2 linked regions of the Sus scrofa genome follow. The protein of the gene in region 1 purifies or fractionates together with the protein of each later gene. This does not show direct contact. Links are inferred from orthologs where the notes say so. Each region holds a gene or a part of one and is shown in the gene's direction. Other genes may lie near its edges.

Region 1 (16,130 bases):
CCCACTAGACAGTAAAATGTATTTTAAGGAAATTTAGTATACAGTAAAAGTGGCATTTCACATTAGTTAGGAAAAACAAGAGTATTAAAATAGTTAGACAAACTGGCTCACCATCTGGAGAAAAAGAAAGCTCAGTTACAAATAACCCTCAGACTTATACCAAAAGAAGTTCCAGGTGGAATAAAGACTTAAATACAAAAAAACAGAATCACAGAAGGCCCTGCAATGGCCCAGTGGGTTAAAGGATCAGGTCTTGCCACAGCTGTGGTGAAGATCATGCATTTGAGCCATGGCCTGGGAACTCCCATAAGCTGAAGGTGTGGTTATAAAAAAAAAAGTTGGATTCATGAGGAGTTCCATGGTGGCCTAGTGGTTAAGGATCCAGCATTGTCACTGCTGTGGTGCAGGTTCAATCCCTGGCCCAGGAACTTCTGCATGCCATGGGTGCAGCCAAAAAAAAAAAAAAAAAAAAGGAATTATGAATGCACTAGAAAAAAACCTGGGAGTATACATGTAAACATTCATAATGTTGGACTGGTGGAGTTGCTTTTTTTCTTTTTTGGCTGTACTTGCAGCATGCAGAAGTTCCCAGGCCAGGGATCACACCCTTGCCACAGCAGTGACAACATCAGATCCTTAACCTAATGAGCCACCAGAGAACTCTGGTGAAGGCTTTTAAACATAGCAAATGAAGGAGAAGTAGGAGGGGAAAAGAAGGGAGAAGAAAAGAACCGAGAAGCCAAAAAAGAAAGTAATCAAAAATTACCTACGTAAAAATTAAAAACTTAATACAGCCAAAATGTATACATATAGATACAGGCATGAAGTCACTAGAGAAAATAACCACAACATATGACACACTAAAACCTACTATCCCTAATATAAAAGTGCTATTATATGTTATTAAAATAGCAAAGACACCAGAGAAAAGTGGGCAAATGGTAAGAATAGACAGTTGACAGAAAAATCAGTCAGTAAATATCTAAAAGATGCTAACTACACTATTCAAGAAACTTAAATTAAAATAAAAGATATCACTTTTTAATCTCTAAAAAAGGTTAGCAAGGACAAAAGAAAAAAAAAGATCCCTCCCATATAGGCAAGGCCCACTCACATACTGCTGACAGTACAAACCAACATGGAAAGTTATTTATTCAATTTTAAATCTGCATTCACATTGACAAAGCCATTTCTGTTTTACAGAAATACTTTCACAATTACCCAAAGGTATATTTAAGAATTTCTCTGCAACATTATTCATAACGCAGTGGAAATTACCAAAATGCTCACCAATAGGGGAGTGGTTAAATAAATTATAGCACCTACACACTATACGCTATGAAGTTATTAAAAACAACAAGCCAGACTTATTTATCCTGACATGGTAAGATGACAATAAATTAAGTGAAAAGGGAAAATTGCGAACAACACGTAAAAAATGATCCTATTTCTTCACCGAAAAAGATCATATTCTAAATTACTGCTAATCTTTTTGTATTTTATGTAAATAAGAATTCTTTTTAAGGGAGTTCCCTTGTAGCATACCCTCAGCATATGGAAGTTCCCCAGCCAGGGATCAAATCCAAGCTGCAGTTGTGACCTACACGACAGCTACAGCAACAACAGACTTTAACCCATTTTGCTGAGCTGTGGAGGATTGAACCCTAGCCTCCACAGTGACCTGAGCCACTGTAGTCAAATTCTTAACCCACTGTGCCACAGCAGGAATTTGTTTGTTTGTTTGTTTGCTTTTTTAGGGCTGCACCAGAGGCATATGGAGGCTCCCAGATTAGGGGTCAAATCAGAGCTACAGCTGCCAGCCTACACCACAGCCACAGCAACACAGGATCCAAGCTGTGTCTGTGACCTACACCATGGCTCAGGGCAACGCCAGGTCATTAACCCACTAAGTTAGGTCAGGGATAGAACCCCAAACCTCATGGTTTCTAGTCGGATTCGTTTCCAATGCACCACGACAGGAACTCCAGCAGGAACTTCTAATAATGTTTTTTAAGACAACTAAGCATCACCTAACTTTGCCATTGGAGTGATAAGTTATTAGTTCTAAGCTATCTTCATGTTTGTATCACACTTTCATCTTTCTAATACTTGTATGAATTTCACTTGGGTTCCTCAGGCAAAAAGAAACACTAAACATGGTAACATTTAAGAAACACTAAGCATGGTAACATTCACTGTGGAAAATCTTGGTTGATGTGATTTAATATACACCATACTGATGTTTACCTCATATGCTTAACATTGGCATTCATCCTTGAGGGCAGGACAAGAATTTAGGTGATTTTTATATTATCAAGCCCTAGTTCACTGCCTGGCAATATTAGACTTTTATTTTTTCTTTTTTTTGTGGGGGGGGGGGGTTAGTACCTGAGGCATATGGAAGTTCCCAGGCTAGGGGTTGAATTGGAGCTGCAGCTGCCAGCCTACACCACAGCCACAGCAATCTGCAATTGCCACCACAGCTCACAGCAATGCTGATCCTTAACCCATTGAGAGGTGTCCCCTGGGATGTATCCACATCCTCAAGGATACCAGCTGGGTTCTTAACCTGGTGAACCACAATGGGAACTCCAGTACTAAACTTTTAGTAACTGCTGATTAAACAAAACAAAGCCCTTTATACCTGAGGTGATATCTGAGATGGCAACACCTAAGATTGGAAATGTTAAGGGTTTGTCAGCTGGAGCACAAGCAAAAACAGGTGAAAAAGTGCATTTGGGAAAATGCAGATAGTGACAACTTAAAGAGATAAGGCTGAGGTGATAAGCTTGGGGATAACTCCAGGGTAAAGTTCAAAATCCTTAGTTGAGTAAGATACACCAACAGGTGCTCTCCAACTACCTCTGAGGCCTCACCTCCTGTCACTCCAGCTCTTAGCTCTGGCTATAGTCAAATAACTGCAATTTCCTAAAAGCATCATATTCTTTCACACCTTAACCTTAGGTTCCCTTGCACTTTGTCCTTTTCTGGGAATACTCCTCTTCTTTCAAAACTCAGCTCAACTGCCACTTTCCCAAAGGAGCTTTCTCTGTTCCATCAAGTGAACATACAAGATCTTTCCTCGCTGAACTCTATCTTCCACTTCCCTTATAGTTAGTTCACTTCTCGTCTCCCTACTAAAATGTGTACAGAGCTTATTCAACTTTACATCTTCTCCGATGCTAGATACTCCAATGTTTTGTTATTAAATAAAGAAAACAGACCACATTTGCCATTATGCCCCAGGCTCAACATCTGAAAGCCCCAAGGACTCATTTTGCAAACTACAGATTCAGACTCACAGACTGGTAGAACTTAATTGTTAGGTCCAATAATTAAAACCATCCGTGTAATAATCTATGTAGGAAAAGAATCTGATGAGGAATGGCTATATGTATAACTGATATACTGATTTCAAGTGAACTGATGACACCTGAAACATGTTTATAAGTCAACTCTAATAACATTTATTTAAAAAAAAAAAGTTTGCCACTCTTGGTGTTACTGTGCCTAGGCTAGCCAAACCAGGTGAATGCCTGGCCTGAGAGGTTCCAAGGCCCTGGGTTTGCACCAAAGTATTCCAAACGTTTCCCTGTTTAGAGCTGCCTGAGCACAACGTATTACAAGGCCCAAAGTATATATCGTGTGTACAGGGGCCAAAACTTGCACGGAGGGTTCTTCCAACTTCGCAGTTCAGTGAATTACGAGGCTTTGGACAGCGCGTTAAAAAAAGCAAGATCCAAGGCCTGAGACTGTTCAGGAGCCCACAACCGTCTTGATCAGAAGTTCATGCTCCATGGCTTCCCAGAACCTCAGGTCTAAGAAACTAAACCGGTTAGAGACGCCAAAAGCGGTGTCAAACGCGCCGGCGGAGAGCAGGTGCGGCAAGGCTTTGTTCTGAGAGATTCCTGTACCGCACACCGCCCCGGCCAGCGTCCCTGTTCCCCAGCTCTCCGAGCTCTAGCAAGCGGCGGTGGCGGCGGCTCTCCTGATTGTGAATCCTGAGTTGGCCCGGAACGGAATCGCAGCGCTACTGGGCAAATCCCTGTTCCCGCCCAAGACTTCCAGACTTTAGGGCCCGCTGGGTGGAGGAAGGGGATCCAGAAAGTTCTACGAGCTGCAGGAACCCAGTCTTGAGCCCACCCCCACAAGGCCCTTCAGCTGAGTCCCTCCCACTCCGAGCACCCCCGCGCCGTTGCCCAGGTAACCGCGGGGCGGTGGCAGCAGCCGGAGGGGGTGGGACTTCCGGCGGGTGACGCGCCGCGACTCGGCTACAAAAGACGACGGTTGCGGCGCGCCGGGCGGAACTTTCCAGAACGCTCGGTGAGAGGCGGAGGAGCGGCGGCTGCCCGAGCTGCGCACAGAAACGCGCTCCTTCCCGCTCCCCCACATCGGCCTCGGCCCGCTCACCGGTGAGTTTCTGCTTTCACGCTTCCTCTGGTCCCCAGGCCTGCGCCATTAGCGGCTCCGGGAACTGGGATGGAGCCGCGGTCAAGTGGCGGTTGGCTCCGCGTGGGCTGCGGGGCTGTCGGTTCCTGTATCCTCGATTCCCTTTCTGTAGAATTGATGGGGGTGTCCCGGCAGCCCTTGCTGGTGCGCAACGGCTGGGCCCGATACCGTTCCAGAAGCTTTCCCCTCGCCTATCTAGCCGGGGGTCTCCAAGGATCTGCCGCCTCCGGGTTTCCCTCCGCCCGCCCTCGCTGGGGGTGGGGTGGGGGTGGGGGCGATTCTGCGCGCACGCGCAGGAGGAGCCAGGGGCGAGGGGCTGCGGGAGGAGCTTGGCGGAGGCTGCGGTTTTCGCATCTCCGGTCTCCCCTCCTTCTCTTTGTTGAGGGTTGGGCTTCTCCCACCCCTTCGCTCCTGAGTCGGAGGAAGAAAGGAAGGAAGCCCAACGCTCGGCGCTAAGTGCAGGGGGAAACCTAAGAACATGTAAGCTATGCTGGCTTGTGGGGCAAGAGGGGTTCGGCGTTCAAAGCAGAGAAGCTGTAGGTCCTGTGATTGAGAAACAGTCTCAGGATTGAGGGGGAGGGGAGCTTGCTTTCTGGAGCTTCCTCCCCGCCTTGTGCCCAGACGTCTTTTCTAGGAAGTGTATGGTTTATCAGATTTACCAAAGATGATAATGACAGTGGACTGAACCTATTAGTGCGTCTTGTCTTTACTGCCCTGTCATTAATGGGGAGGGGAGACAGGAAGAATCGAGATGGAGGTTTTCAGGTGGAAAGTGGGAACAAAGTAGTATGGGAGGTTTCTTAATTATTCCCTGATAATTATTAGCTTATATTTAGTCTGTTAGAATTTAATGGCTGAATTATCAAAGGACTTGTTACCGTCTCTGTGAAATTTAGGGAAGGTGATGTTCTTATGATCAGATTTGGCAAAGAACAAATTTCTTTGCCTAAACTCTTGATTTTTACTAATTAAAACTACCAGTTGAAAGTAGTTAAAATTGAACTTTTTTATTTCAGGCTGTAGAAAATGGTGAAAGAAACCACTTACTATGATGTTTTGGGGGTCAAACCCAATGCCACCCAAGAAGAATTGAAAAAGGCTTACAGGAAACTGGCCTTGAAGTACCACCCTGATAAGAATCCAAATGAAGGAGAGAAGGCGAGTACCATACTCACACTTTAACATAACTGGGTAGTTCTTGCCAGGTGTATGGTATTTCCATTACAACATGAAATTGAGTATGTCTAATACAGTGGCTGTGCTTTGTGACAGTTGAGTTTTTTTGGTGAAATTTATCCCCTTTTTTCTCACACAGTTTAAACAGATTTCTCAAGCTTACGAAGTGCTCTCTGATGCAAAGAAAAGGGAATTATATGATAAAGGAGGAGAACAGGCAATTAAAGAAGGTGGAGCAGGTGGTGGTTTTGGCTCCCCCATGGATATCTTTGATATGTTTTTTGGAGGAGGAGGAAGGATGCAGAGAGAAAGGAGAGGTAAGAATGACTTAGTCCACATATAGCAAATTAGCCAATTTGGTTAAAGCGAATTCTTGAGAATTCACATATTATTAAATGCTTGTTCACATGTTAGTGTAATGTTGCAAGCTGACTGTAAACATTTTATGATAGTTTTTTAAAATGAGTTTGGATGAAACTAAAAATAGCCAATAGGGTGCTAACAAATGAGTGTTTCTAAAGCTCTTCAGATACATAGGACTTTGTTGAAGTTGTCAAGCATTAAATGAATAAAGTTACAGGAGCATAAAATTTTCAAAACCCTTTTTATATGTTTTGATTTTCAGAACTTACACACCTACTCCTCAACCCCAATAGTGGATGTAGTCAAAAGTGAATAACACCCAGTCGAAGGGAGTTACAGTTCAGAATCCTAAATATTTGTCAGGGTCACATATAGCCAGCATCAGAGTCTGGATTGGAACACAGGTTCATTGCCTTCAAAAAGCTTGGTCTCTGTTTAATCTACCTTCAGTTGTATTGTACTAAAATACGTGCCATATTAAGAAACTTACCTTAAAACAATTTCCAGTCAAAATCAATTGATTGGCAAACTCTTCTTTGTGTGTATTAGATCAATGAAAGGTTATTTTTTAAGTGTGATAATTCGAAAGTTTTCCTTAAATTTTAGAAGCTTTATTTCTTATATTCTGAAACATACAAAGCTGAATTAAGGGCAGCTGTTACCATGCCTGAATTAATCACATAGAATTATATTTGTGATACAGAAGCCAAAGGTGGGTCTAGAAGAGGAAGGTAATGGTACTTTACTTTTCATGTCGATCAGATAGTTTGAGAATTTCTCCCACTTAGACGTAAGGCAGTATTTCATGGTGGATAAAGTCCTTGTGGAAGGAAGAATCACTAGTTAGAAACTTATTAACCATTGGCAGGTACATTCTGTAGCCTCTGTCCTTATATGATCGCCATCTTCTAGTTCTCATTCCTAGATGAGATATGTCACTCCTTTGTAGCCACTGGCTGCATCAAATTTAGATTATCTTAAAAATAAAAATTCAGTTATTTAGTCTGCAGTAGCCATATTTATATGCTCTACAACCATGTGTGATTTCTGGCTACTGTTGTATAGCACAAGATATAAAACATCTCCGTCACTGCAGAAAGTTTTATTGGACTGCACTATGGTAAAGAATGAGAAATCTAGCCTTTAAACAGTTAGTGCTGGCTCAGCAGTAAATGCGCATTTCTGGATCGATACTCCTATATGGAGACAGGATAAATACATCAGCTTTCCTGGCTGAACTTGATGAGTTTTTGGAACTTAGTGTGTGAAGACTTTTTGGATGATGTAATTTCACTAAATACCATAGTAAGTGAAGGAGTCATAGAATGTGTTGGGACAGAAGAGCAGTTGGGGTGATTTATTGGCAAATAATTGTGTTTTAAGTAACATTGGTTTTCTCAGTTGATTTTGCAGTTAACTTTTTTTTTTTTTAAGGATTTATCAAGCTTATCAGTGACCTTTTTTTGTTTCTGCTTTTTGGGGCCACACTCCGAGGCATATGGAAGTTGCCAGGCTAGGGGTTGATTTAGACCTGCACTGCTGGCCACAGCCATGCCAGATCTGAGCCTCAATTGCAGCCTACACCACAGCTCTAGGCAGCATAGGATCCTTATCCCACTGAGCGAGGCCAGGATTGAACTCACATCCTCATGGAAACTAGTCAGATTCTTTTCCACTGAGCCACAACAGGAACTCATAGTTAATGTTTTTGATTGCATTAAAAAAAAAGATGCAGTATCTTAGATTTTTAATGAGTAATATTTTGTTCTAGGTAAAAATGTTGTGCATCAACTCTCAGTAACTTTAGAAGATTTATATAATGGTGCAACAAGAAAACTAGCTCTGCAGAAGAATGTGATTTGTGACAAATGTGAAGGTATGTCTTAATGCTTGTAATAGAACTGAAATGGGACCAAAGCTTTTCTGGATATATAAAAACTGACAAATACTGCACTACCTAGATCTTGGAGAATGCAAGTCTGAAAACCACCCGAACCTACCTCCTAGAGAAATATTTGCAAAATATCACACTTTTATGTGTATATTTTGAACACAGGTGGGATCTAATTTGGTGTCCCTTTTTCTCAACATTGTTCAGAGATGAGTACTTCCTTTCTTCTCTAGAACTTCAGAGGCATTGCAGTGGCTTCATATGATTTTAAAGTGTCCTCTTTTTAAGTCCAGAGCTGTCAAATTATTGGCTCTGAACCTCTAAGCTTTTTTCAAGTAAATACAAGTTACTTGTTTGAAATAGATTTTCTAAAGAGAATAAAGTCTTAAAATGTTCTCGCAGTTAAAGTAGTCTTTAAGAATTGTGCTTTGGAAGCACATGTTTAAAATTAAAAATTCTGAAATGGTTCCTTGGGAAAATAGCAGTCAAGATGTCTATAGGTAACCGAAGCTCATTTGGGACTATGTTGTATCAAATAAAAAGGCTGAATTGTAGATTCTTAAGGCAGCATTCCATTAGACCTTAAAAGTATTAACAAAGCAGAGTGTTTAGATACTGTCTCATTAAAACATTCATCACTGTGTTGGATACTAAATATAAACAATTTCTTTTTAAACTATTTAGGCCGAGGTGGTAAGAAAGGAGCAGTAGAATGCTGTCCCAATTGCCGAGGTACTGGAATGCAAATAAGAATTCATCAAATAGGACCTGGAATGGTTCAGCAAATTCAGTCTGTGTGCATGGAGTGCCAGGGCCATGGGGAGCGGATCAGTCCTAAAGATAGATGTAAAAGTTGCAATGGGAGGAAGATAGTTCGAGAAAAGAAAATTCTAGAAGTTCATATTGACAAAGGTGAGTTGTGAGCCACTTCTTATTTTAAATTCTTGAGTGTTATGTCAAATTTATTAGCATTATATTTTATTTCCTAATAGGGGTTCGTTCCTTGGGAGCTGATAGGGTCAGGAACAGGTGATATACTTTGATTTATTAACTTATTTGTGAGGACTTAGGTTATAATTACTACTTTCTAATGGTTTTTACAAGTTAAACACAAGTTATCAGTTTCTGCCTTTTGGGTTCCAGGATATAACTTAAGAGTTTCTTTTCAATATTAGGATATTTTATTTTGCCAATTTTTAAATTTTAATTTAGTAAAAAATATTTTAAAATGTATTAGATCAGTGTCTATTTTCCATTGTAGTTTCTCTCTCTCTCTCTCTTTTTTTTTTTTTTTTTTTTTTGCTTTTCAGGGCTGCACCCGAGGTATATGGCAGTTCCCAGGCTAGGGGTCAAATCGGAGCTACAGCACAGCCACAGCAACGCAGGATCTGAGCTGTGTCTGTGACCTACACCACAGCTCACAGCAACGCCAGATCTTAACCCAGCAAGGCCAGGATCAAACCCGGAACCTCATGGTTCCTAGTCACATTCATTTCCACTGCACCACAATGGAAACTCCTCATTGTAGAAATTCTTAAAATGTGTATAACCCCAGAATACATTATGCTACTCTGAAAAAAATCAACATGATTAGCTCATTCGGACTTTGCTATTTTATTCATTGGTTCGGGGGCCTTTACCTGTGGCATACGGAAGTTCCCAGGCCAGGAGTCAAATTGAAGCTGCAGCTTACAGTCTACACCACAGCCATGCCAGTGGCAAGCTGCATCTGGGACTTTTCCTGCAGCTCACCAGAACACCAGATCCTTAACCCATTAAGCGGGGCCAGGGAATTAATGTGCATCCTCATGGGTACTAGTTGGGTTAGTTACCACTGAGCCACAGTGGGAACTCCAGACTTTGCTATATTATTTTTTTATATTTTTAAATTTTTTCATTATTATTATTATTTTTTTGGTTTTAGGCTGTACCCATGGCATATGGAGGGACCCAGGCTAGGGGGCTAATCAGAGCTACAGCTGTTGGCCTATACTACAGCCACAGCAATGTAGAATCCGAGCTGCCTCTGTGACCTATACCACAGCTCGTGGCAACACCAGATCTTAACCCAGTGATCAAGGCCAGGGATCAGACCTGCATCCTCATGGATGCTAGTTGGGTTTGTTAACCACTGAGCCATGACAGGAACTCCAGACTTTGCTATTTTTTATTTATTTTTATTTTATTTATTTATTTATTTATTTGTGTTTTATATTTTCAGGGCCACACCCACGGCATATATGGAAGTTCTCAAGCTACAGGTCGAATTGGAGCTACAGCTGCCAGCCTACACCTCAGCCACAGCAACACAGAATCTGAGCCACATCTGTGACCTACACCACATCTCACAGCAATGCTGGATCCTTGACTTACTAAGCAAAGCCAGGGATCGAACCCACATCCTTACGGATCCTAGTCATAGTCATGTTTGTTAACCATCGATCCACAACAGGAACTCCCAGAGACTTTGTTATTTTAAAGTGAAACATACAGAGTTTCTGTGGTAGCTCCGGGGTAACAAACTGGACTAGTATCCATGAAGACACAGGTTCAATCCCTGGCCTTGCTTAGTGGGTTAAGGTCTGGCGTTTCTGTGAGCTGTGGTGTAGGTTGGAGACCCAGCTCGGATCTGGCATTGCTGTGGCTGTGGTATAGGCCCATAGCTGCAGCTGCAGCTCCAATTTGACCCCTGGTCTGTGAACTCCCACATGCCACAGGTGCAGCCCTAGGAAAAAAAAAAGCAGAAAAATTAAAAACCACACAAAAATAAAAGTAATAATACATTGTACATACTCACATGGAACTGTACTTATGAACATCTTATCAGTATACACATCTACTTTAAGTCTCTGCAATAGTTTTCTCCCCATGTGAATCACGGTACTTCCCTCCCCATGTTTTTTAATTTCAGCCATGCCTAGGGCATGTGGATTCCCAAGTCATAGCAGTGACAACATGGAGTCCTTAACCGCTAGGTCACCAGGGAACTCCTTCCTCCATTTTTCTCCCCTTAATTGGCCCATGTTTAGTAGGATTTGAATTTTTCCCTGTCCAGTAAAGTTCCCTTCTTGCTACCAAAAGTATGTATTCAGGAGGCAGTAGTAGTAAGTGAAGCCATTTATGAACGCTGCACTAGCCTGTGCTCTTTATGTTAATGGAACAACCAGCAAAACTGGTTGAGTTCAATTGCTTCACTAGTATAGTGAGACACAGTTACTTTGTGATTAAAGATAGATTGTTTAGTTTCATCAGTGCATAATACTGGTATTTTGGTTTAAGTCTATCTTTTTAGAGGTATATACTGAAGTATTTGGGGTAATTGGCCTGTCTGGACTCGAAATACATGGAATGTGGGTGGAGGTATATGTAACATGAAATACTAGTCAAGAGCTGATAATTACTAGATGTATATTGATGAATATTTAGGAATTCTTTGTACTTTTGACTATTTTATATAAGTTCAGTACTTCCTGTAATAGTAAAACAAAGTTGCTTTTGTTGGGTGATTTCAGTGCTCAATGGTTCAGGAATCCTGGAGCTACTGCTGCAGTCTAATGACTTGCAAACATGAGTTCTGTTTAAAGAGGTGTTAGCTTAAGTGAATCCTTAGTGAACTAAGATACATGAGCCAGAGGTAATCTCAGTAAACACATTGGTGTTTAAGAAATGTTTGCCCTATTGGAAAAATTTTGCTGGGGTTTTTCTCTTTTTTTCTTTTGGCCACACCCACAGTATATGAAAGTTCCCTGGGCAAGGGATTGAACCTGAGTCAGAGCTGCACCTCACTACAGCAACACCAGATCCTTTGCCCACTCCACTGGGCCAGGAATCAAACCCATGCCTCAGCAGTGACCTGAGCCACTTGCAGAGGATGCCAGATCCTTAACCCACTGTGTCACAGTGGGAATTCCACATTTCTCCGTAATTTTTTTTTTTTTCCTTTTTAGGGCCCCACCTGCTGTATATGGAGGTTCCCAGGCTAGGGATCTAATCAGAGCAATAGCTGCTGGCCTACACCACAGAAATGGCAATACCAGATCCTTAACCTACTGAGCGAGGCCAGGGCTGGAACCCTCGTCTTCATGGTCCTCATGGGTACTAGTCAGATTCGTTTCTGCTGAGCCACAAAGGGAACTCCAACATTTCTCTGTAATTTTGACCCTAACCACATGGTCTGAAAGTGTTAAGCCATAATTATCCTTTCTTTAAGAAAAGACTAAAAATCATTTAACAAAACAATTATGGACTTTTAATTTTTTTAAGTTTTATATATTGCTTTCCTATATGTAAACATTGCTAATACAGTAAGGGGGGGGAGTCTGACTTAGGCTTCTGTAGACTTGATAGAAATAATTTGACTAAGTTTTTTTAAAGTGATGAAATAATTGAAACATTTATGGTTATGATGTTTACCACTGATTTGGTGACAGTGTAGACCTCTTTTTTTAGTCCTCACAAGAGCTCTAATGGAGAGGTAGGTAGGTCTCTGTGGGAAAGTTGATGCTTAGGAAGTTAAGCAACTTGCTTCCCCAGGGTAATCCAGCCTACTGGTAAATAGCTCTGAGATTTGAAGCCTGATTTGCTTGTTTGCCTCTAGAATTTGTGTTCTCCACTATGAGAGTTTTCTTCAGTAAGAAGTAGGACTGGGGGTATTTTTGGTAAATTCTCCAAAACTTTAGCATCCATATGGACTTGAACAATTTCTTCATGTACACACAAACATGCATCTGTATTTCTTGTAGATGGAGATTCTGACCTTGGATGTTAAGAGTGTAAAATTAGCTTTTTGTTTTTAGGCATGAAAGATGGCCAGAAGATAACATTCCATGGTGAGGGAGACCAAGAACCAGGACTGGAGCCAGGAGACATTATCATTGTTTTAGATCAGAAGGACCATGCCGTTTTTACTCGGTAAAAACTTTTATCAAATACTCAAAGTGATACTTGGGGGGTGAGAGGGGTTCCTTCATTTTTCTTATTTAAATGAGCTTTTCACTACTTTTAGAACCATTTCTTGGAACTACCCTAGGAAAGTATAGAAGGAGAGTTAGTCTATGTAGTGTTGTCCTCTCCAAAAGATTGTTAATCATTTATGTTTGTCTTAACAGAGAGTCAGATTTTAAGTTTTTTTGGTCTAAATTTGGGTTAATTGTTGCCTAATCTGGATTTTGAAGGATCAATTAGGAGTTATTTTTTTCTTTTTAGGGCTGCACCTGTGGCATATGTAAGTTCCCATGCTAGGAGCAGAATCAGAGCCGCAGCTGCCAGCCTACATCACATGGGATCTGAGCCATGTCTGCGATCTCTGTCTCAGCTCAGAGCAGTGCCAGATCCTTAACCTACTGAGCAAGGCCAGGAATTGAACTCACATCCTCAATGGGTCCTAGTTGGATTTATTACCACTGAGCCACAATGGGAACTCCCAGGAGATGTTTTATATGAGTATAAACAGGTGGATTGGGGAAACATCCCCTAGATAAAGCTGTCACCAATATTTGTATTAAGCAGTTAGTTTTGAAGTAAGTGCCCTAAAGCTTTCACCAATTTCTTAAATCCTGAGTTTCACTTTCTTCAATCCTGGGTTTCTTTTTTTATATTTAAAAAAAATGTTTAAAATATTCTGTATAAAAAAGTTAATTCAGGTCTGTTATGTGAAATACTTAATTTTGTTTATGAACTTATAGTGAAGCACAAGGAAGATTGGTTAACAGTGAATGTGTTAAATAATAAATCCATGGCTAATTTTAAAAACATCTGGAATTGGGTTCCAGTAAGTCTGTTGGGAATGACATGTAAGGAACAGGTTTTGAATTATGGAACAATCATGGAAAATGCCATCAAGCTTAGGATTTTGATTCTGTCATTTGAGGTGAATCCTCAAGATTATTTCTGGAAAGTATTCTGCTTGATGAAAAAAATTACTAGTATGAATGGGAAAAGAAAGCAAGCATGAGGAGGCAGTGGGCTGTTATCAAATATAAAAGATTGTGTTCATAATGTGCCAGGCACTGTATTCCCTAATTCATGTATATCAACAAAGAAATTCTCATTGTCCTATGAAATTGGCCATATCCCCATAATTTAATTCAGACTCTAAATTATCTGGAATCCAGCCTTCGGTGTGTTTCTCCACCTAGACTGTGCGGGGAAGGGATGGGGATCTGAAGCCTTGTTGAGGACACAGTGCTGGCAGGTTCTATGTATTTGCTGTTCCCAGTTCTCAGCTCTGTTTCAAGAATCAGAAAGAAAGGGCATCTTAAAACAGTTTCTTGCTTTGGTGCTTGTAATCATTAGCGATTTGAAAGATATAAGTATATGCCATATTTATATTGTACAGACGAGGAGAAGACCTTTTTATGTGTATGGACATACAGCTGGTTGAGGCATTGTGTGGCTTCCAAAAGCCGATATCTACTCTTGACAACCGAACCATAGTCATCACTTCTCATCCAGGTATGGTAACTAGATAAGCTTGTCTTTCTATTCTAGTGTTTTCATAGTCTGCTGGTAACTATATAGGCATAGAAAAGCTGCTGAGTACATAGGCATCCTTGAGCTGAAATCATGCATTCTTGGCTGTCTTGGAAGCCCCTAGAAGATCCAAAAACAAAAGGTATCAGGATTGTTTCCCATAAATTTACTTGTCAGTGAGCTAGGACATTTCTGTTTATTTTCTCTGCGTCATAAAAGTGTGACTAGGAGCATGACTATGCTGCAAGCAGGATCAGTGGTGTCTCTGTGCCGGATGCACAGGTCACAACTGTGGCTTGGAGCTGATCCCTGGCCTGGTAAACTCCGTATGTATCAGGGCAGCCCAAAAAAAGTGTGACTATATTTGAGGTATTTGGTTTCATTGTTTTTAGGTCAGATTGTCAAGCATGGAGATATCAAGTGTGTGCTAAATGAAGGCATGCCAATTTATCGTAGACCATATGAAAAGGGTCGCCTAATTATTGAATTTAAGGTAAGCTATAAAGTACTCTAGGAATGTTTGAGAATGACTAGTTTATTAAAATTTGTTAGCAGTTACAGTTTCTGAATGATCAGAATCATAAAATGTATATTCTTTTCCCAGATCTAACAGTACTTATGTCCTTTTGAGCATTCTTTGTTAAAAAGTTGGAATTGGGTTTGTTGGCCTCATTATTGGCTATTGAAAGACTGGCAGAGGAAGGGGGGGTGTGTGGCAAGTGGTGGGTATTTTACTAATGAAAGGAAATAGAATTCAAATTTTTGTCAAAATACTGTAATGCTATTAATAGAATGGTTCTTAAAGCCATTCCCTCAATCTAAAATTTTGTGCCCTCAGAACCATTTAACGTTTATTAACATTTATTAAAAACATCTTTGGGAGTTCCCGTTGTGGCTCAGTGGTTAACGAATCCGACTAGGAACCATGAGGTTGCGGGTTCGATCCCTGGCCTTGTCAGTGGGTTATCTGGTGTTGCTGTGAGCTGTGGTGTAGGTTGCAGATGCGGCTCAGATCCTGAGTTGCTTTGGCTGTGGTGTAGGCTAGCAGCTGTAGCTCTGATTCAACCCCTAGCTTGGGAACCTCCATATGCCACGGGAGCAGCCCTAGAAAAAGCAAAAAGAAAAATAAAGTACTTGCTGCATAGAACAGTGATTATTATAGTGCAGTCTTACTAGGGTTTTTTTTTTTTTTTTAAGACTTCATGTATGCCTTGAACTTGATTTCAGAGTACTAGGTGATATATGCCTTTATAGAATGTGTATTCTAACCTGGGATTGGCAGGTTTACCAGAATACTATGTGGTTACATGTGTTTGAGGGAGGGGGAAAATGGGTCAGTGGTAATTTGTCTAAGGAGCTAAGGATGAAGTAAATCAATTGAACTTACAGTGGGAGTTTTTTCCTTACAGGTGAACTTTCCTGAGAATGGTTTTCTCTCCCCTGATAAACTCTCTTTGCTGGAAAAACTCCTACCTGAGAGGAAGGAAGTAGAAGAGACTGATGAAATGGACCAGGTAGAACTAGTGGACTTTGATCCAAATCAGGAGAGACGACGCCATTACAATGGAGAAGCATATGAGGATGATGAACATCATCCTCGGGGTGGTGTTCAGTGTCAGACCTCTTAATGGGGCCAGTGAATAACGCTTACTGCTGGCATTTTATTTGCTGCAGTAGTGATTGAGTGAAGGACTATAATCATAATATGCTCACTACTTGGTATTGTTTTAATATTCAACTATAGTAGTGTTTTAAAAGTTAAATGAAGAATAAACTCAAA
Region 2 (16,658 bases), on another chromosome or scaffold:
CTCGGAACATCAGACGCTCTGGTCATTGCCTTGCAGCCCCTCCCCCTGAGCCAGGCTCCCCGTGCCATCTGCGGCGCGGTGTGCCTGGCGCTCACACCTGGCCTCGCCATGTCCTCTGTTGGGTCCCGGGCCTGCGGCTTATCTGAATTCACGTCTGATAGGCGGCGTGGTGTTCCGTGGCACCCAGCCAACGGGGGTTCTCGTGCCCCGCCCGCACCTCTGTCTCCCCAGCAAGAGCAGAACATCAAGCCCCAGTTCTTCGCCTTCCGCTGGCTGACACTGCTGCTGTCCCAGGAGTTCTTGCTGCCTGACGTCATCCGGATCTGGGACTCGCTCTTCGCCGACGACAACCGCTTCGACTTCCTCCTCCTGGTCTGCTGCGCCATGCTCATGTGAGTGTCGCCGTGAGCAGGGGTGGGCGTGCGGGCGGGGGGCTGCAGTGAGCCCCTGGGATTCTCAGGCGAGCAGCACACCAAACTGGCTTTGGGTGGTGCGGGAGGAGCGGGAAGGGGCCCCAGGGGCCCAGCACTCTTGTGTTTTTCTTAGACTGATCCGGGAGCAGTTGCTGGAAGGGGACTTTACCGTGAACATGCGGCTCCTGCAGGTAACGGAGTTTGGAGGGACTGGCTCAGTCTTAGGCTGTGAGACAGACCCTTAGCAGGCAACCCCCATCCCCACCCCTGCCCCCGTCCTCGTCCCCATGCCAGCGCTGTGAAAGGATCAGGGCTGTGTAGCAGATCCTAGGTGTCCGGACCCCTGAGCCAGATCTGGGTTTGGGTCTGGGTTGGATCCCGCTTTGCCACTGACCTTGAGTGTGGTGCGGCCTTGGGTGAATGACTCGGTTGCCCTGAACTGCGTGGTCTGGATGAGTAGGGCACACCTGGCACGAGCCTTATCCCGGGACGTGGTGATGAGGCTTGCTGGGGACCGTGTGCAGACCTGGTCGTAGTTGTTCAAGAGTCAGACAGCTTTGGGTTCACATCTTTGTCCTCCTGTGCCAGTCATGTAACCTGAGCCAAGTGGCAGCCTCTCTAGGCCTTGATCTCTTTGCCACCCCCAGGCTTGGGGTTGGTTTCCAGTAACTTCGTTGACTCAATCTGTAAAACGGGCCGATCCACAGTAACCCCTCATTGGGCTATTGTGACCCAGGGCACGGATGGTGTTCAGCCCTGTTCCAGGCTCGGTGTGAGTGCAGCTCAGGGGTCAGTGGCAGGAGGTGGGGATTGGTGCTAGGGAAGGGGCTCGGAGGTCTTTTGGGCGGTGATGGGTTGGGTTGGTTAAGTTAGGGCTGTGGGGGCAGCAGTGGCTTCAAGCAGGGTTTGGTCAGACGTGGTGCCTGGTGTGCTGTGGTCCCTTCCCCTGAGACCCCCTGGTCCAGCATGGTGGCAGGTCCCCTGGGGAGCCCCGTGGGTGGCAGAGGTGGTGCAGGGTGAACTGACTGGAGGGCCTGCTGTTGGCCTCTCCCCTGCCCAGGACTACCCCATCACAGACGTCTGCCAGATCCTACAGAAAGCCAAGGAGCTCCAAGACTCACAGTAGCCCTGCGGCAAGAGGCCTGAGTTTGGGAGAGAAGCCGCCACTGACGCCGCCACCACCACCACCACCTATGTCCTGACTCCTGGGACGCACAGGAGCCTATGGGGTCCCAGCTGGAGGGGCTGCTGCAGGATAGGCCTGCTACAGGCCTTGCACCCTGGCTGCGCCCACTGGGGCACACTGTGCCACACCCCTTACCAACCGCTGAGCCCGGCCCTGGCCTGCTTCCACCGGGACCCTTTGCCCAGGCTGCTGAGCAAGGCAGGAGCTCGTGACATTGTTGCCTGGGGCTGGGGCAGACCGGGGGCCCTGGGGCTGGTGAGGGTCCCTCCCGGCCTCTGCCCTGCTGCTCCCCTCCTCCTCTCCTGCTCTGTCCCCTGGGATCTGGTTGGGGAGGTGCTTGGCCAACGAGCCAGAAGCCACCTCTTCTGGAGGCTGGTGCTTGGGCTTCTCTACGGGGAAGGTGACACTGTGAAGGAGCTAAGAGTCTGCCAGACCCAGTCACACCCTCTGTCCCATTCCCACTGAGTGTGTGTGTGTGTGTGTGTCTTAATTCCCCAGGCGTCTGCTTCTCCTTGGTCCGTGCGTCTGTGTGTCCAGAGGCAGGTGAATCCCTCTAGGTCTCCTTGTCTGTCTCCTCACCTCTCCACCTCTGCCTCTATCCCTCTACCTCCTCCACAGAGGGTGTGTGTGGCTCTCGCTCTGTCTGCCCTTCTCTCTTGGGGTGCCTTATCCCCGCCTCTTCTCTCTTCTCCTCCCAACACCCATGAACCCTGGAGACAGAATGAAGAGTCTGGCTCAGCAGAGCTTCTGGAGGTCAACCTTGGCCTTTGCAGCTTGTTCCCATCCCCCAGCTCTCCACTCCCAGTGCCTCCCCACCACAAAATTCTTGGAAACCCAAAGCTCTGAGAATTGGCCAGTGAAGCTGCCCGGTGAGGCGGGGTGGAGCTAGCTGAGTCTCCCAGAGGTTCCCCCAAAGGCCCATCTCTCCCAAAGGAAAAGGACATTAATGCGATCCTGTGCTGGGGCTTGGGATCCAGGTGCTTCTGAGGCAAAGGTATTCATTCCTATGGCTACTGGGTCTGGGCCCAGGGCAAGTGAGCCCCGTACAGGGCAAGTGGGACCAGAGGGAGCCTCTCTGGGCCAGGCGGAGCTGAGCTCGATGGCTGGGTGCCATCAGGGCCGGGAGAGCCACGTCTCCCCCAGGCAGGGGAGCTGAAGGAGGTGCTGGCCCTCATGTGGTCACGTGCTTGGGCTGCTCCAGGATCTGGGGCAGGTGTGTCCTGGATAGGAGCAGCTGGCAGTTCCCACTGCTGGGCTGTGGGAAGGGTTGGCTTGTTCCAACCTAGTACCCTCCTCGTTTAAGGAGGCAGGTGGTTTGTGCCTGGAAGGCTGGGTCATGTAGCATGGGGCCTCTTCATCTCAGACTGGCCAGCAGGGGCCCCCAGCCACCCCCCCCCCATGCCTTCCTGAGTCATGGCCAGGATTTGTGGATGGTGGCCAGGAACAGCTTCCCCAGGCAGCTCCTGTCCAAACTGTCTCTTGGATGCTTGTAGGACTTCATGCACTTGCCTTTATGCCTTCTCCTCTTCCAACAAGGTATTTGAGAGATTTTTGCTATTTATTCAGATTCCTAGTTATTTATTGCGATTGGCAAGTGCTCGATTTGATGAAGGGTGGGGCTGGAAGGGTAGAAACAAGTTGGGGTCAGGGTCTTCCACTCTTCCCGCCTCTGGGACCTGCCTGATTTTCCAGGAGGTCCTGGCTGGGAGGACTCTGTGAGAGGACTAGGTGTGAGGGAGACAACAGCTGGGATCCTTGCCAGAGCCCAAGACCCCGGCTCGGGGCAGAGACACGGCTGCCCAGCAGCCTGGCTCACCCTTTTCCCAGAACTTGTTGCTGGTGGTTCAGCCCCAACTTGATCCCTTCACAGCCTGGGGCCCAGCAGACACTGCCCAGGACACCTGATGCATTCCCTCTTGCCCGTCCCTCTGCCTTCCCTCCCGGGGCCCTACTACTTGAATCACTGCATCTAATTTGTCTAAGCGGCAGGACCTGGGTCCCCTGCCCTGTCTTTGATCTTGTGATGAAGGTCAGAAGAGCACAGGGACCATGTCCAGTTTAGGCTGAGCTCCCCAGTGGGATACTGCCCAAGGGAAAAAACTGCCCTTGGCAATTCCCCCTCCCTAGACTCAAGGGAGGTCCCCAGAGAGCCAGAGACCCCCGGGCTTCCTGCTCGGGAAGCTGCCCCCAGGACTTTGGATACTTACAGAATGGCTGTTTGAGTTCAGCTGGTCTCACTCCAAGGGTTAGAATGTTAGTCTGCTTTTGTTTTTTCATTTGTTTTGTTCTTTGAATCAGTGCTGTTGATGACAAGTTGTCTTTAATAAATCATGTGTTCTTTGCAGTGGGCGTTGGTTCTGGGATGGGCTGGAAACCTTTGAGACCTTGGAGCTGGAAAAAACAGTTGAGCAGGGATGACGTCAAGAGGCTTTCAGAGGAGTTCCCATCGTGGCACAGGGGAAACAAATCCGACTAGGAACCATGAGGTTGCGGGTTCAATCCCTGGCCTCGCTCAGTGGGTTAAGGATCCAGCATTGCCGTGAGCTGTGGTGTAGGTTGCAGACGCGGCTCAGATCTGGCGTTGCTGTGGCAGTGGCGCAGGTCAGCGGCAACAGCTCTGACTAGACCCCTAGCCTGGGAACCTCCACATGTCATGGGTGTGGCCCTAAAAAGACAAACAAAAACAAAAAAAGCCTTTAGAGTAGGCAGAAGAAAAGGCTAGGAAATTTTTGTTGGAAGAGCATGAGCCACTCTTCTTTAATAACTGCAGTTTGTAGCTGGGGGAGAGGAGGCTGTACTGGGGCAGAAGGTGTTATGTTGTGATCGTAGCAAGTTACTTATCTGTTAATTTGCCGAAACCTTCGGCATGCGGAAGTTCCTGGGCCAGGGGTTGAACCTGCACTACAGCAGCAATCAAGTCTTTGATAACCCGTAGTCTGGAGAAAATCACTGATAACATGTTAGTCTTCTTCCCAGAGGTAGATTTTTGTGTGTAATTGTCACCTTCCTCATTTTCTTGTGTATTGTCTCACCCCTCAGGTTAGGTGCTGAGCAAGTTGCTGTATGATTTTAAAATATTTTAATGCACTATATACTATTTTAATATGCTAAAAATGTCTGAAACCAGTTCCTATGTCTGACTATTTTGCTTATTCCCCAGCCTCTATTATGAGTAGTACTGTGGGGAGTGTTCATGTTTGAAATCATTGCATTCGAGGTTTATTCCCCCAGCTCAGTCCTCTAAGTGAGTTAGAAGGTATGAACCTTTTTACGGTTTTCATGCAGACTGCCAAGCTGCCTTCCGGAATCCAGCCAGCAGTTTGTAATACCACCTGCATGCATCGCGGTCCTCACGCTGGGTGTTAAAATCTTTGCTGGAGTTCCCGTCGTGGCGCAGCGGTTAACGAATCCGACTAGGAACCATGAGGTTGCGGGTTCGATCCCTGCCCCTGCTCAGTGGGTTAACGATCCGGCGTTGCCGTGAGCTGTGGTGTAGGTTGCAGACGCGGCTCGGATCCCGCGTTGCTGTGGCTCCGGCGTAGGCCAGCGGCTACAGCTCCGATTAGACCCCTAGCCTGGGAACGTCCATATGCCAAGGAAGTGGCCCAAGAAAAATAGCAAAAAGACAAAAAAAAAAAAAAAAAAAAAAATCTTTGCTAATCTCCTAGAAATTTTTTGCCTTATCTTACGATGTAATGGTTAGGAGCATAGACTCCAGTGTCGTTCAGACCTGGAGTCTTGTCCTTGTTCTCCCTCGGCGCTCTTGATTAAATCGAGTCATAATACAGGCAGTGTAGACTAGTGCTTGACAGGTCTCTGGAGCTCTTGAAGTAGGACCTCGGCACTGACGCAGAAGAGGTGGGGCGGGGCGGAGCCAGCCCTGGAGCGGCCAGTCACGAGTCGAAGCGGCGATGCCACGCCCTCTCAGGGCTCCCTCTTAAAAGGGCAAAAGGCACGGGGAGGTCCCGTAGGGCCGCTCCAGACCCCCACTGTTGGAGTCCTTTGCACTTTGGGGCGGGCTTTGAGTGGGCGGGGCCTACGTTCCGCCGTCCAGTGCCTCCACCCGGCGCAGTCCCCGCGGTGGGCCCCGAAGGCCTGCGCGGCTCCTTTAAGAACTCGCGGGTCTGACGCCGGAGGTCGCGGCGTTCTTTCGGAGCTGCGGGCCGAGTGCCCTCCACAGCTCAGGCCAGAATCCACGGCCATGAAGTTACTGCGGGCGGGTTTAACCCTAGCGCTGGGCGCCGGGCTGGGTGCAGCCGCCGAGGGCTGGCGGCGGCAGCGGTGGGACGCACGGGAGGCGCCCGGTTTGCTAAGCCGGCTCCCCGTGCTGCCCGTGGCGGCGGCGGCCGGGCTTCCCGCCGTGCCCGGGGCCCCGGCGGGCGGCGGGCCCGGCGAGCTCGCCAAGTACGGGCTGCCTGGGGTAGCGCAGCTGAAGAGCCGCGAGTCTTATGTGCTGTGTTACGACCCGCGCACCCGCGGCGCCGTGTGGGTGGTCGAGCAGCTGCGGCCCGAGCGGCTCCGAGGCGACGGCGACCGCCGCTCTTGTGACTTCCATGAGGACGACTCAGTGCATGCGTACCACCGCGCCACCAACGCCGACTACCGCGGCAGCGGCTTCGACCGCGGCCACCTCGCCGCCGCCGCCAACCACCGCTGGAGCCAGAGGGCCATGGACGACACCTTCTACCTAAGCAACGTCGCGCCCCAGGTAGCGCCTGGGCCCCTCGCCCCTGCGGCGGAAGGCGAGGCCACCCACTGCGCGCCTTCGAGCCTCAGGCTCTCTGCAAAGCGGGAAAGCTGCCGAGGGTGCGCCTAGGTCAGGCGCCTGGCGAGTCACACCGCGCCGCAGGCGGGAGGGACCGAGGGATGGGGCGCTGAGCATCCACTCTGCACTCTGATCTTAACCCCCGGGGGCCTCCCAGATCTTCAGTTTCCTTGTCTGTAAAATGGGGATAAAACGGTTACTCACCTACCCCTTGCAGTAGCGCTGAGGAACTGAAAACACCATTCAGGTACAGAAAAGTACTGAGCACGCTTCCTGGCCCATGGCAAGCGGTCAGTACCAGCTATCATGAGGAAAGCGAGTCTCAGACACCGAGTGACCGGCCCAGTGTCACATGAGGGAGGAGACCCAGGCAGTCTGTCTAGAGGAACCTGAGCTTTCATCCATTGTCCTATCTGCCTTCCTTCCAGGAGTGACAGCAAAGATCCCTGCAGGCACTGGGTGTTCGTAACAGTCACTGTGCACCCTGGACTAGCTGCCCACCTCTAGCCGTGTTCCCATCCTGGCCTGACACGCATGTGAGGACGGATGTCAGGCTCTGATGAAGCTGTAGGGTCAGCTGTAGCCTCTGACCTGACTTGTGACCTCTCAGGAGCACTGTGCCCTCCCGGTTTGATTAGACACTGTCTGAGGACCAGAGGGTTCAGGTTCTGGAGCAGACTCATGACCTTCCCGGCTGGGCTCTGCCTGTGGATCAGTTGAGGGAAAAGGCAAGGAGAGGTGCCCAGAGAGCTGGTCTTCCCATGAGGCCCTGGGGGCGGGGCCGGCCTATTTCTGGAAGATCTGCCCCTTTCCTTCATATGGCTCTTTGGAGCCAAGAGACATTTGTGAGTCCTGGGATGCTTGTTCGGCCCTTCTAGATGGGGTTATGCTGGCAACCCCTCGAGCTCTACCTGGGCTCCACCCTCATGACCATGTGGCCCAGGTGTCTTTCCATCCATGAATCTGTTTCCTCTGCTTGTCCTCACCTCTCCCCTGCCCCCCCCACCCTGGAATCTTCTGGCTTGGTGCCAATGCCCCACCCTCAGGGCCTGGAGCAGCCCTCTGACAGCCTTGCAAGTGTCCCGGCCAGTCTCACTGAGGCCCACCTCTCCTGCCAGGTGCCACACCTCAACCAGAATGCCTGGAACAACCTGGAAAAGTACAGCCGCAGCCTGACCCGCACCTATCAAAATGTCTATGTCTGCACAGGGCCGCTCTTCCTGCCCAGGTAAGGTTAGACCTGGGGACACCAGCACTGCCCACTCATCCCTTCCTGATGCCCCCAGGCTTTTTATCCACACCACCAGGTCTCGTGGAGTTCCCGCTGTGGCACAGTGAGTTAGGACTGACTGCAGTGGCTTGGGTTGCTGTGGAGGCACAGGTTCAATCCCCAGCCCAGTGCAGGGGGTTAAAGGATCTGTGTTGGGAGTTCCCATTGTCACTCAGCAGGTTCCAAACCGACTAGTATCCATGAAGATGTGGGTTCAATTCCTGGCCTCACTCAGTGGGTTAAGGATCTGGTGTGGCTGTGGCATAGGCCGGCAGCTACAGCTACAAGTTGACCCCTAGCCTGGGAACCTCCATAGGCTGCAGGTGCAGCCCTAAAGAAATCATTTGGCTTCTCAGCATGTCTGCCCCTCCCTGCCTCAGGCCCTCCCAGTTGTACTCCAAGGTCGGAGGCCAAACCCACCTACCCACCTAGACCCCGTGTCCTCTGCCCCTGGGCACCAGGCCCCAAATCTGCCCCTGCTCCTTTCTGGGTCTTCAGTGGTCCCATCCACTCAACTGTGTCCTGCCCAGACTGAAACCCTTGCGAGAGGCGCTCACCTTCACTCTCCTCTGCTTGGAGCAACCCCCCCCCCGCCCCTCGCTTCCCCTGGAGCCCGGCTTTGAACTCCATGTCCCTAACCCTTGTCCCCCCACAGCCCAGCCTCCCCCAGGTAGAAGGGACCAAGCTCCTCTGGGCTCGCTCGGTGACTTTTCTGGCCTGCTGAGGGCTTGGGACCAGTGAGGCGAGAGGTTGTGGCCAAGCAGCTGGCTGTGCCTGGGATGGACTCTGGGCCCTGCCACCTGGTCTCTGGGTGCCCTGGACAGGTGACCTCCACCTTCTCTCCTGTAAGATGGGGATAATGCCTGCTACCTACATAGCAGGTGTTTAAGGGACAAAGTGGGTGTCACCCACTTTAAGGGAGGGAGGATGCCACCTCAGGAAGGCTCACCGTGGGCTTGCTGAGGCGGTGGCTGGGGCACAGATCCTCTTTAATGAGCCAGGGCCTCCCCTGGTCCATGGTCATGGAGCAGACTCTGGGGAGGGTCAGCCTGAAGTTGCCCATCCCACATTCCGGGCACCTGTCATGCCCCAGGCCTCTGCTGGTGCCAGGGATTCAGCCGTCACAGCTCTGCTCCCTTGGCGCTCACTCGCCACCAGAAGAGACGGTCAATCATCAGGTGTCCACACGGATGAATGTGGATGTTTCTTTCTGCAGTGTTTATTGTCACCACACACTCTGGCTGACCCAGTGCTGGGTGTGAGGGAAGCAGGAGAAGAAGCACGTCTACCCAGCAGGAAGCACCCAGCCTCCTGGGGGAGCCAAGCCCGGGGCCAAGAAGCCTCACTCTGTAGGGGCGGTCCTGCAGGTCCAGTCAGGGAAGGCTTCCTGGAGGTGGAGGCCCTTGGTCAGACCAAGCTCCCTGGGAGCGCTGAAAGGCCATGTATGTCTGGGTCTGCCCACAGGACAGAGGCTGACGGGAAGTCCTATGTGAAGTACCAGGTCATTGGCAAGAACCACGTGGCGGTGCCCACCCACTTCTTCAAGGTGCTGATCCTGGAGGCAGCAGGCGGGCAGATCGAACTCCGCTCCTATGTGATGCCCAACGCGCCCGTGGATGAGGCCATCCCGCTGGAGCGCTTCCTGGTGCCCATCGAGAGCATCGAGCGGGCCTCGGGGCTGCTCTTTGTGCCGAATATCCTGGCCCGGACGAGCAGCCTTAAGGCCATCACTGCCGGCAGCAAATAAGGGCCGCCCCAGCCAGACTGTGGGGTCCTGGGGACCAGGTTGAATGAAAGGTATTTATTTTTGGAGACAAGTCTTAGCTGTGTCTGTTCCGGGTGACCTGTGGGACCCTCTGGCTCCACTGCTGCTCCCTGGCCATCCTGGGCCCGACAGAACCTTCAGCTGGGCCGGGCACCTGCCTGGGTGAGGCCAGGCTGCAGGGCGGCCAGGGAGATGAGGATGGCTTCCTGGAAGAGAAGTGCAGCAACAGGCTGGCGCCTGGGAGGCTCCCGGGTGTCCCGGCTCCCAGGCCCCAGCCCCTTGGGGCGTGGGGCCCTCAGTGGGGCCTGGCTTTGTCTGGCAGATCTGTTGCTGGCCACTGCAGGCCCTGCCAGGAAAGGGCCTCACCTCTCTGCTCCTCAGTCTCCTCATCTGTAAAATGGGGCTGATCATCACAATACCTTCCCCCCTGGGGTCTGGAGACGGGGGAGGCAACGGGCAGGAGGACCCTCTGTGTAGCTGTCAAGGGGGGGAGCAGGGCTTCCTGCTGGGGGGCTGTGGCTGACAAGCTCAGGGCACCTGGCCCAGCAGGGCTCTTGGGGACAAGTAGACGGAGGCTGTCTCCCTGATGAGTCTCCAACCTTTGAGCCCAGTGGAAGCCAGGGCACCTTGCCCTAGTAGGTGCCACAAGCACAGCATTCTGTGCTGTCCTCAGAAGTTGGGGCCCAGGTTGAAGGCTCTCAGAGCTGGTCCCCTCTTGTCCCCATTGCGACAGAGGTGCCAGTGAGGGTCTGTGAGGAGGGCTGCCCTGGAGGTGGAACACTAAGGAGACAGCCGAGGAAACGAGCCTGGAGCGGGGCTGGGCGGGGTCTCCGGGGTCAGCCAGCCTGGGAGCAGCTGGATGGGTAGCAGCGCCCAGGATTCTTGACTCCTAGCTCACTTGTTTTTTTTTTTTTTTTCCGGCTGCACCCATGGCTTGCAGAAGTTCCCAAGCCAGGGATGGAACCCATGCCACAGTAGCAACCAGAGCCACAAAAATGACAACACCAAGTTCTTAACCCGCTAAGCCACCAGGGAACTCCCTGCTGCAGTTCTGCTGTGGTGAGAGGCCCCGTGGGTGAGACCACTCCCAAGAAGGCTGGCTCAGGGCGGCCGTGGGTGGGGTGGGGACAAGGAGAGTGGTGCAACCCCCCCATGGACAGAACCCGAGGCTCCGGCCCCTTGCTGGTGGCTGAACAGGCTGGGCCTGGAGGCCAGGGAGGCAGGAGGGCTCACCTCTGTGCGGATGGTGCGGCTGCCCTGGCTGGGGCAGGTGTTGACATACAGGTCGAACAGGACACTGGGTTCAGCCACCTCCAGGTTGGGGTCAGCGTCCACTGCCGCTTCCAGCCCCTGGAGGCCCCCAAACACCACGAGAGCGTGCCTGGCACCCACAGGAGGCAGATCAGTGACCGCCCACCAAGGCCCACTGAATGCAGCCCCCCAGAGCGCTCAGGCCCCCCATACGCACCAGGGGCCCAGACTGTATGGCTTGGCCCCCACCTGTCTGGTCCCCCTGCTCCATTCCTCTTCCCCTGGCTGGACCCACCTGAAGTTGGGAAGCTGGGCGGAGGCCACATCCGAGCCTCGCTCTGATGTCCCAATGGTCAGGTCATAGCCGTCCTGGAAGGGGGCCTCAGCAAACACAGCACCTGCAGGGAGGCCAGCTCACTGGGGGCCTCGTTCCCCACAAGCCGCTTGGCTGTGTGTACTGGGGTGGGGGGGATGCCGAGGGGAGGGGAGATAAGCGAGCCACACCCAGGCCCAGACCCTTCACTCCTGGGAAGCCAGGGATTAAGCAGGCAGAGACCAAGCCTGGGCTGGCCTGGGACAACAGAGCAGTAGACATTTAACTTGTCTGGTCCTTTGGTCCCCATTCCCAGCCCCATGGCAGACACTATTAAAGATGCTTCTCAGACGTCCCTCAAAGCATGCCAGGCAGTGCACTCAGGGAGACCAGGGACCAGAGAAGGAATGGCACTTGTCCAAGGACACACAGCACGACAGTAGGATTAGGACTCTGGGCTGACTTCTGGGGCAAGCAAGGCTGTCTGTGGCCTCACAGCCAGAGAGGATGTATATGCATAGGAGGAAGCTCAATCCTTACTGAGGCAGGAGGCCAGGCGGACGGTGTAGCCCCAGTAGAGACCAGCTTTGGTGCGGGGGTCCTGCGACGACACAACTTTTCCACGGTAGGTCTTGCTCTCTGGGGGGGAAAGCAGAGAGGCTCTGAAGACAGGACAAGGAGACAGGGAAGGAGGAGGCTCCCAGTTTGCAGGCTGGCTGGCCCGGGGACACGTTCAGATACCTGGAAGCTGCTTCTGGTTCAGCCACACTGTCACCCGAAGTCCAGGCTCCAAGTTCTTGTCGATTTTCACTTCCTGGGGAGAAGCCAGAAGAAATTGGTGCTGTTCCCTGCAGGACAGCAGTGGTCGCTGCTCCCCAGATATGGGGGCACTGAAGGGGGTCCAGGTCAACCTTCACGCCCTACTCCCTGGCCCCTGGGCCAGACTTGCTCACAAGAGACCATTCTTATTCTATTTTTTTTTTTTTTTTTTTTTTGCTCTTTAGGGCCCCACTCGAAGCACATGGAGGTTCCCAGGCATCTAATCAGAGCTACAGCTGCCGGCCTACACCACAACCACAGCAACGCGGGATCCAAGCCACGTCTGCAACCTACACCACAGCTCACGGCAATGCCGGATCCTTAACCCACTGTGCGAGGCCAGGGATCGAACCCACAACCTCATGGTTCCTAGTTGGATTTGTTTCCACTGTGCCATGACGGGAACTCCCATTCTTATTCTTTTTTTGGATGCTCTGTGGCATGGGGAGTTTCTGGGCCAATGGTCAGATCATTCAAGCTGCAGTTACAACCTATGCTGCAGCTGTGGCAACACCTGATCCTTTAACTCACGGTGCTGGGCTGGGGATCGAACCTGTGCGCTAGTGCTCCGATCTTGTTATGCCACAGCCAGAATCCACAAGAGACCATTTTTGCAAAAGGAATACCCCCAAGATATTAGTCAAAATGAACGGCCCAGGGAGTTCCCTGGTGGCATAGTGGGTTAAGGATCTGGTGTTGTCACTGCAGTAGCTCAGGTGGCTGCTCTGGCATGGGTTCTATCCCTGGCCTGGGGACTTCACATGCTATAGGCTCGGTCAAAATAATAGTAATAATTTAACAATAAAAAAATGACTGGTCCAGGCCTGGCACAGAGTAGGAGATATTTCATACATGGATGAAATCCTAGTTTCCTACATTTTGGTGGCTGTGCCATTTACTAGCTTTAGGAGTCTGAGCCGTCACTGAACCCCTCTGAGACTTAGTTTCCTAATCTGTCAAACAGAAGACTTCCCATAAACAATAGCTATCATTACAGTGCACGGGACCTGGCGTGAAATACATGCTGCATACATGGGGCCGTGATGGACCACTGCTGTTTGCGTTTTGTCCCCATTTTGCATTCAGGACGGGGCACGTTCTTTCCCTTTGGAGGGTTACTCATGCGTTCCCCCTTTTATCTGGGTCCAGATTATCCTGGTCTGCGTTTATATCAAGTCTGTTCTTTTGGAGGAGGCGGGGGGACCAGCACACGTTTAAATGTTTCTGCCTCTGACTCTAGGAGACTTGAGATTAAATAGGTGGCAAATGAATGCTCCAGTTCCCAGCTCGGCATCATGATGAAGCAGCCCCAGAGGGTTTTTTTTTTTTTTTGGTCTTCTTGCTATTTCTTGGGCCGCTCCCGCAGCATATGGAGGTTCCCAGGCTAGGGGTCAAATCGGAGCTGTAGTCTCCGGCCTACGCCAGAGCCACAGCAACACGGGATCCGAGCCGCGTCTGCGACCTACACCACAGCTCACGGCAACGCCGGATCATTAACCCACTGAGCAAGGGCAGGGACCGAACCCGCAACCTCATGGTTCCTTGTTGGATTCGTTAACCACTGAGCCACGACGGGAACTCCACCAGAGGGGTTTTGAACTTGATTTTGCAGGGAGTTGTTTGAGTTTTGTTTTTCGCATAAGGACTATCTTCTGGGGATAACACTTTTTTTTTTTTTTTTGTCTTTTTGCCATTTCTTGGGCCGCTTGCACGGCATATGGAGGTTCCCAGGCTAGGAATTGAATCAGAGCTGCAGCTGCCAGCCTATGCCACAGCCACAGCAACACGGGGATCTGAGCCACATCTGCAACCGACACCACAGCTCACGGCAATGCCGGATCCCTAACCCACTGAGCAAGACCAGGGATCGAACCCGCAACTTCATGGTTCCTTGTTGGATTTGTTAACCACTGAGCCACAACGGGAACTCCAGGGGGGATAACACTTTTTAAAAGCAGTCAATTTCGGAGTTCCCGTTGTGGCTCAGTGGTTAACGAACCTGACTAGTATCCATGAGGACATGGGTTCAATCCCTGGCCATGTTCAGTGGGTTAAGGATCCGGCGTTGCCATGAGCTGTGGTGTAGGTCACAGATGCGGCTCGGATCCCGTGTTGCTGTGGCTATGATGTAGACCAGCGGCTTCAGCTCTGATTGGACTCCTAGCCTGGGAACTTCCGTATGCTATGGGTATGGCCCTAAAAAGACACGCACACACACAAAAACCCAAAGAGTAAATTTCACTCCTGGCTCTATTCATTGAGCTCCATCTTGGCACTTCTCTGGCCCAAATCTGCATCACTGAGGGACCGGCAGGCAGAGACGCCTGAGTCCAGGGCTCCCCACCCACTGTAGCCAGGGCGTGTCTGGGAAGTAGGTCTCGACCCATGCTCCGGTTCCTACCTTCTTCATGCCACAGTTGACAAAGGAGCCCTGGCCCGGCCGTGTGGGCCGGTCCACCACGACACCCTCTCGGAACTCGGAGTCCTCGTCCTGACGCATGTGGTGAGGGCTGTCCAAGGGGTTCAGGAGCCCTGTGTTTGAGGAGGAGCCGGGAGGCGTCTGGGAGGTGCAAAGGCACATGGGAAGGCCTGGTCCAAGTTCCAGCTCTGCCCACAGACCTGCTTGGCACCAGGCACAGCCTCATCCTGCCTGGGCCTGCTTTCCCAGCTGTCCCATGATTTCTCAGGGTCTAGGGGATGACCCCTGAGAAATGGGGGTCACCCCCCCACCCCCAGACTTACCTGCAAACTGTAGATCCTGATGCTTGGGGAAGAATGCCTTTCTTAGGTACCTAGGAGAGGACGCAGATCTCAGGAAGTTCCCAGGGAGGCCACCTCCCATCTGCCCTGCCCCTCGGCCGCCCCTCCCTCGTGCTCTGGGAAGTCTGTGCTCCATCCTCTTACTGTGGACACTCCAGGTACTGCAGGATCCGGGCCAGCTGCACGCATGCCTGCCCCTTCTTGCCAACTCCCCTGAACTCCCCCTCCACAGTCCTGGAGAGAGAGCATGAGACAGGGCTCAAGCCGGGGTTCCCTTCAAGGTCTCCTCCCTCCCGCCTGACCTCTGCAGTGACCATGGCCAGGGGGGACGGTGGGGCCACCGCAGACAGGAGTCTCAGCCCGGGCAAGTAGGCAGGGAGAAGGGTGAAGCCCAGCCAACCCGGCGGCCCATCCCTTTTCTCTGAGCCCTGCTGCCCTCCTGGACGGCCCCTCACTTGGCATCTTGGCCCTCTTCATCGAACACCACGATCTCATCCACACAGAAGATGGCACAGGCTCTGGCAATCTGGCCAGCCAGGTAGGTGCGAAGCTCGGGCGACTGGGCGTTGTCCAGGATGGAGCCCGGCAAGGCCACGCTCAGGGTGTAGTGCCGCCCTGCGCAGGAGAGGGGCGGTCAAGGTCAGCCGGATGGGCCGGGACCATCTCTCCCCTCTCTCCCATCCCAGCCTCTAATCCCAGGGCCCAGAGTTAGAGGAATGTTCCCACCCGGAGGAATTCTGAGATGAGCACAAAGATTCAACTCCTTCTCCGGTCCTCAGTCTCCCCAGGAAGAAACTGGACGCGGTGATCTCCAGGGCTCCCATGAGCAGGGCATCCCACGGGGCGGGTGGGGGTGGGGGTGAGGCTCAGAGGTACTGACCTAGTCACAGCCGCGGCCCCTGAGTGCTTCAGTTCTCCAGGCATTAAAAAGGGCTAATGATGAGAGTGCCTTTTATTTTATTTATTTTATTTTTTTGGTCTTTTTGCCTTTTCTAGGGCCGCTCCCGTGGCATATGGAGGTTCCCAGGCTAGGGGTTGAATCGGAGCTGCAGCCGCCAGCCTACACCAGGGGCACAGCAATGCCAGATCTGAGCCATGTCCGCGACCTACACCACAGCTCACGGCAACGCCAGATCCTTAACCCACTGAGCGAGGCCAGGGATCGAACCTGCAACCTCATGGTTCCTAGTCAGATTCGTTAACCACTGAGCCACAACGGGAACTCCGAGAGTGCCTTTTATGTATGCACATTTAACCAGTAGCCCTAGGAAGTAGGTGGTACCTTGATCCCCACTGAGAGGTGGGGAATCTGCAGCCCAGAGAGGTCAAATACCTGCCCGCAAAAGGCAGGACTGGCTTCAGAGCAACCACCACGCTTTTCCTCCCAGAAGGGTCCAAAGGGAGCCTGCATGTGATAACACCCATAAAGGGCTTCCCAGTGTCTGAGACAGCTGACAAGCTCCGTCTCTGTCCCCACGGTCACCATCATCACTGGTAACCACATGACCCACTAGACCCTTGGGTCTGGTGAAGGAAAAAAAGATACGACTTGTTAAGGTAGATCCAGACGCACAGACACGGAAGGACCGCCAGCACAGAGTGAAGTGGGATGAGGAAGACCAGGTCCAAGTGTGCTGTCGTGGAAACAAATCTGATGAGCATCCACGAGGACGCAGGTTTGATCTCTGGCCTCGCTCAGCGGGCTAAGGATCTGGCATTGCTGTGAGCTGTGCTGTAGGTTGCAGACACACCTCGGCTCTGGCATGGCTGTGGCTGTGGTGTAGGCCGGCAGCTACAACTCCGATTCGACCCCTAGCCTGGGAACCTCCATATGCCACGGGTGCAGCCCCAAAAAGACCAAAAAAAAAAAAGAAAAACAAAAAGAAAAAGAAAAACCAGGTCCACAAGTGCATGGATAAAGCAGTCGCATTCTTAAAAAACTGTCTCTCCCTCTCTCCATGTGTGTAAGTGGGTGATAACATAACAACTGGAGAAATTTTTACTCCAATGTTTACTAGGATTTTTCCTTTTTTTATAGTTTTCTGTATTATTTGGAGAGTTTTGTTTTGAACTTTTTTTTTTTTTTGTCTTTTCTAGGGCCACACCCACGGGATAC

The links.
Region 2: the proteins of DNAJA1 (region 1) and ENDOG purify together in Homo sapiens (affinity purification with mass spectrometry; 3 studies listed by BioGRID and IntAct, counting the BioPlex papers as one, with this or other methods). This does not show direct contact. The link is inferred for Sus scrofa from reciprocal best matches to the Homo sapiens genes DNAJA1 and ENDOG.

Annotation. Positions count from the first base shown.
Region 1 is NC_010452.4:33,433,706-33,449,835, reverse strand, and holds the start of DNAJA1 (dnaJ homolog subfamily A member 1), read left to right. Parts: upstream 1-4,762; 5' UTR 4,763-4,929; intron 4,930-5,465; 5' UTR 5,466-5,475; coding exon 5,476-5,607; intron 5,608-5,764; coding exon 5,765-5,942; intron 5,943-7,759; coding exon 7,760-7,864; intron 7,865-8,563; coding exon 8,564-8,791; intron 8,792-12,675; coding exon 12,676-12,790; intron 12,791-14,216; coding exon 14,217-14,332; intron 14,333-14,742; coding exon 14,743-14,843; intron 14,844-15,759; coding exon 15,760-15,978; 3' UTR 15,979-16,130.
Region 2 is NC_010443.5:269,148,344-269,165,001, forward strand, and holds ENDOG (endonuclease G, mitochondrial), read left to right. Parts: upstream 1-5,611; 5' UTR 5,612-5,800; coding exon 5,801-6,307; intron 6,308-7,482; coding exon 7,483-7,592; intron 7,593-8,829; exon of another isoform or gene 8,830-9,098; coding exon 9,099-9,381; 3' UTR 9,382-9,446; downstream 9,447-16,658. Other genes in the region: TBC1D13 (TBC1 domain family member 13), read left to right, coding at 232-392, 547-604, 1,474-1,539; SPOUT1 (putative methyltransferase C9orf114 homolog), read right to left, coding at 10,501-10,780, 10,946-11,048, 11,504-11,602, 11,705-11,777, 14,184-14,314, 14,525-14,574, 14,687-14,776, 14,998-15,157. UniProt on the Homo sapiens protein: Endonuclease that preferentially catalyzes the cleavage of double-stranded 5-hydroxymethylcytosine (5hmC)-modified DNA.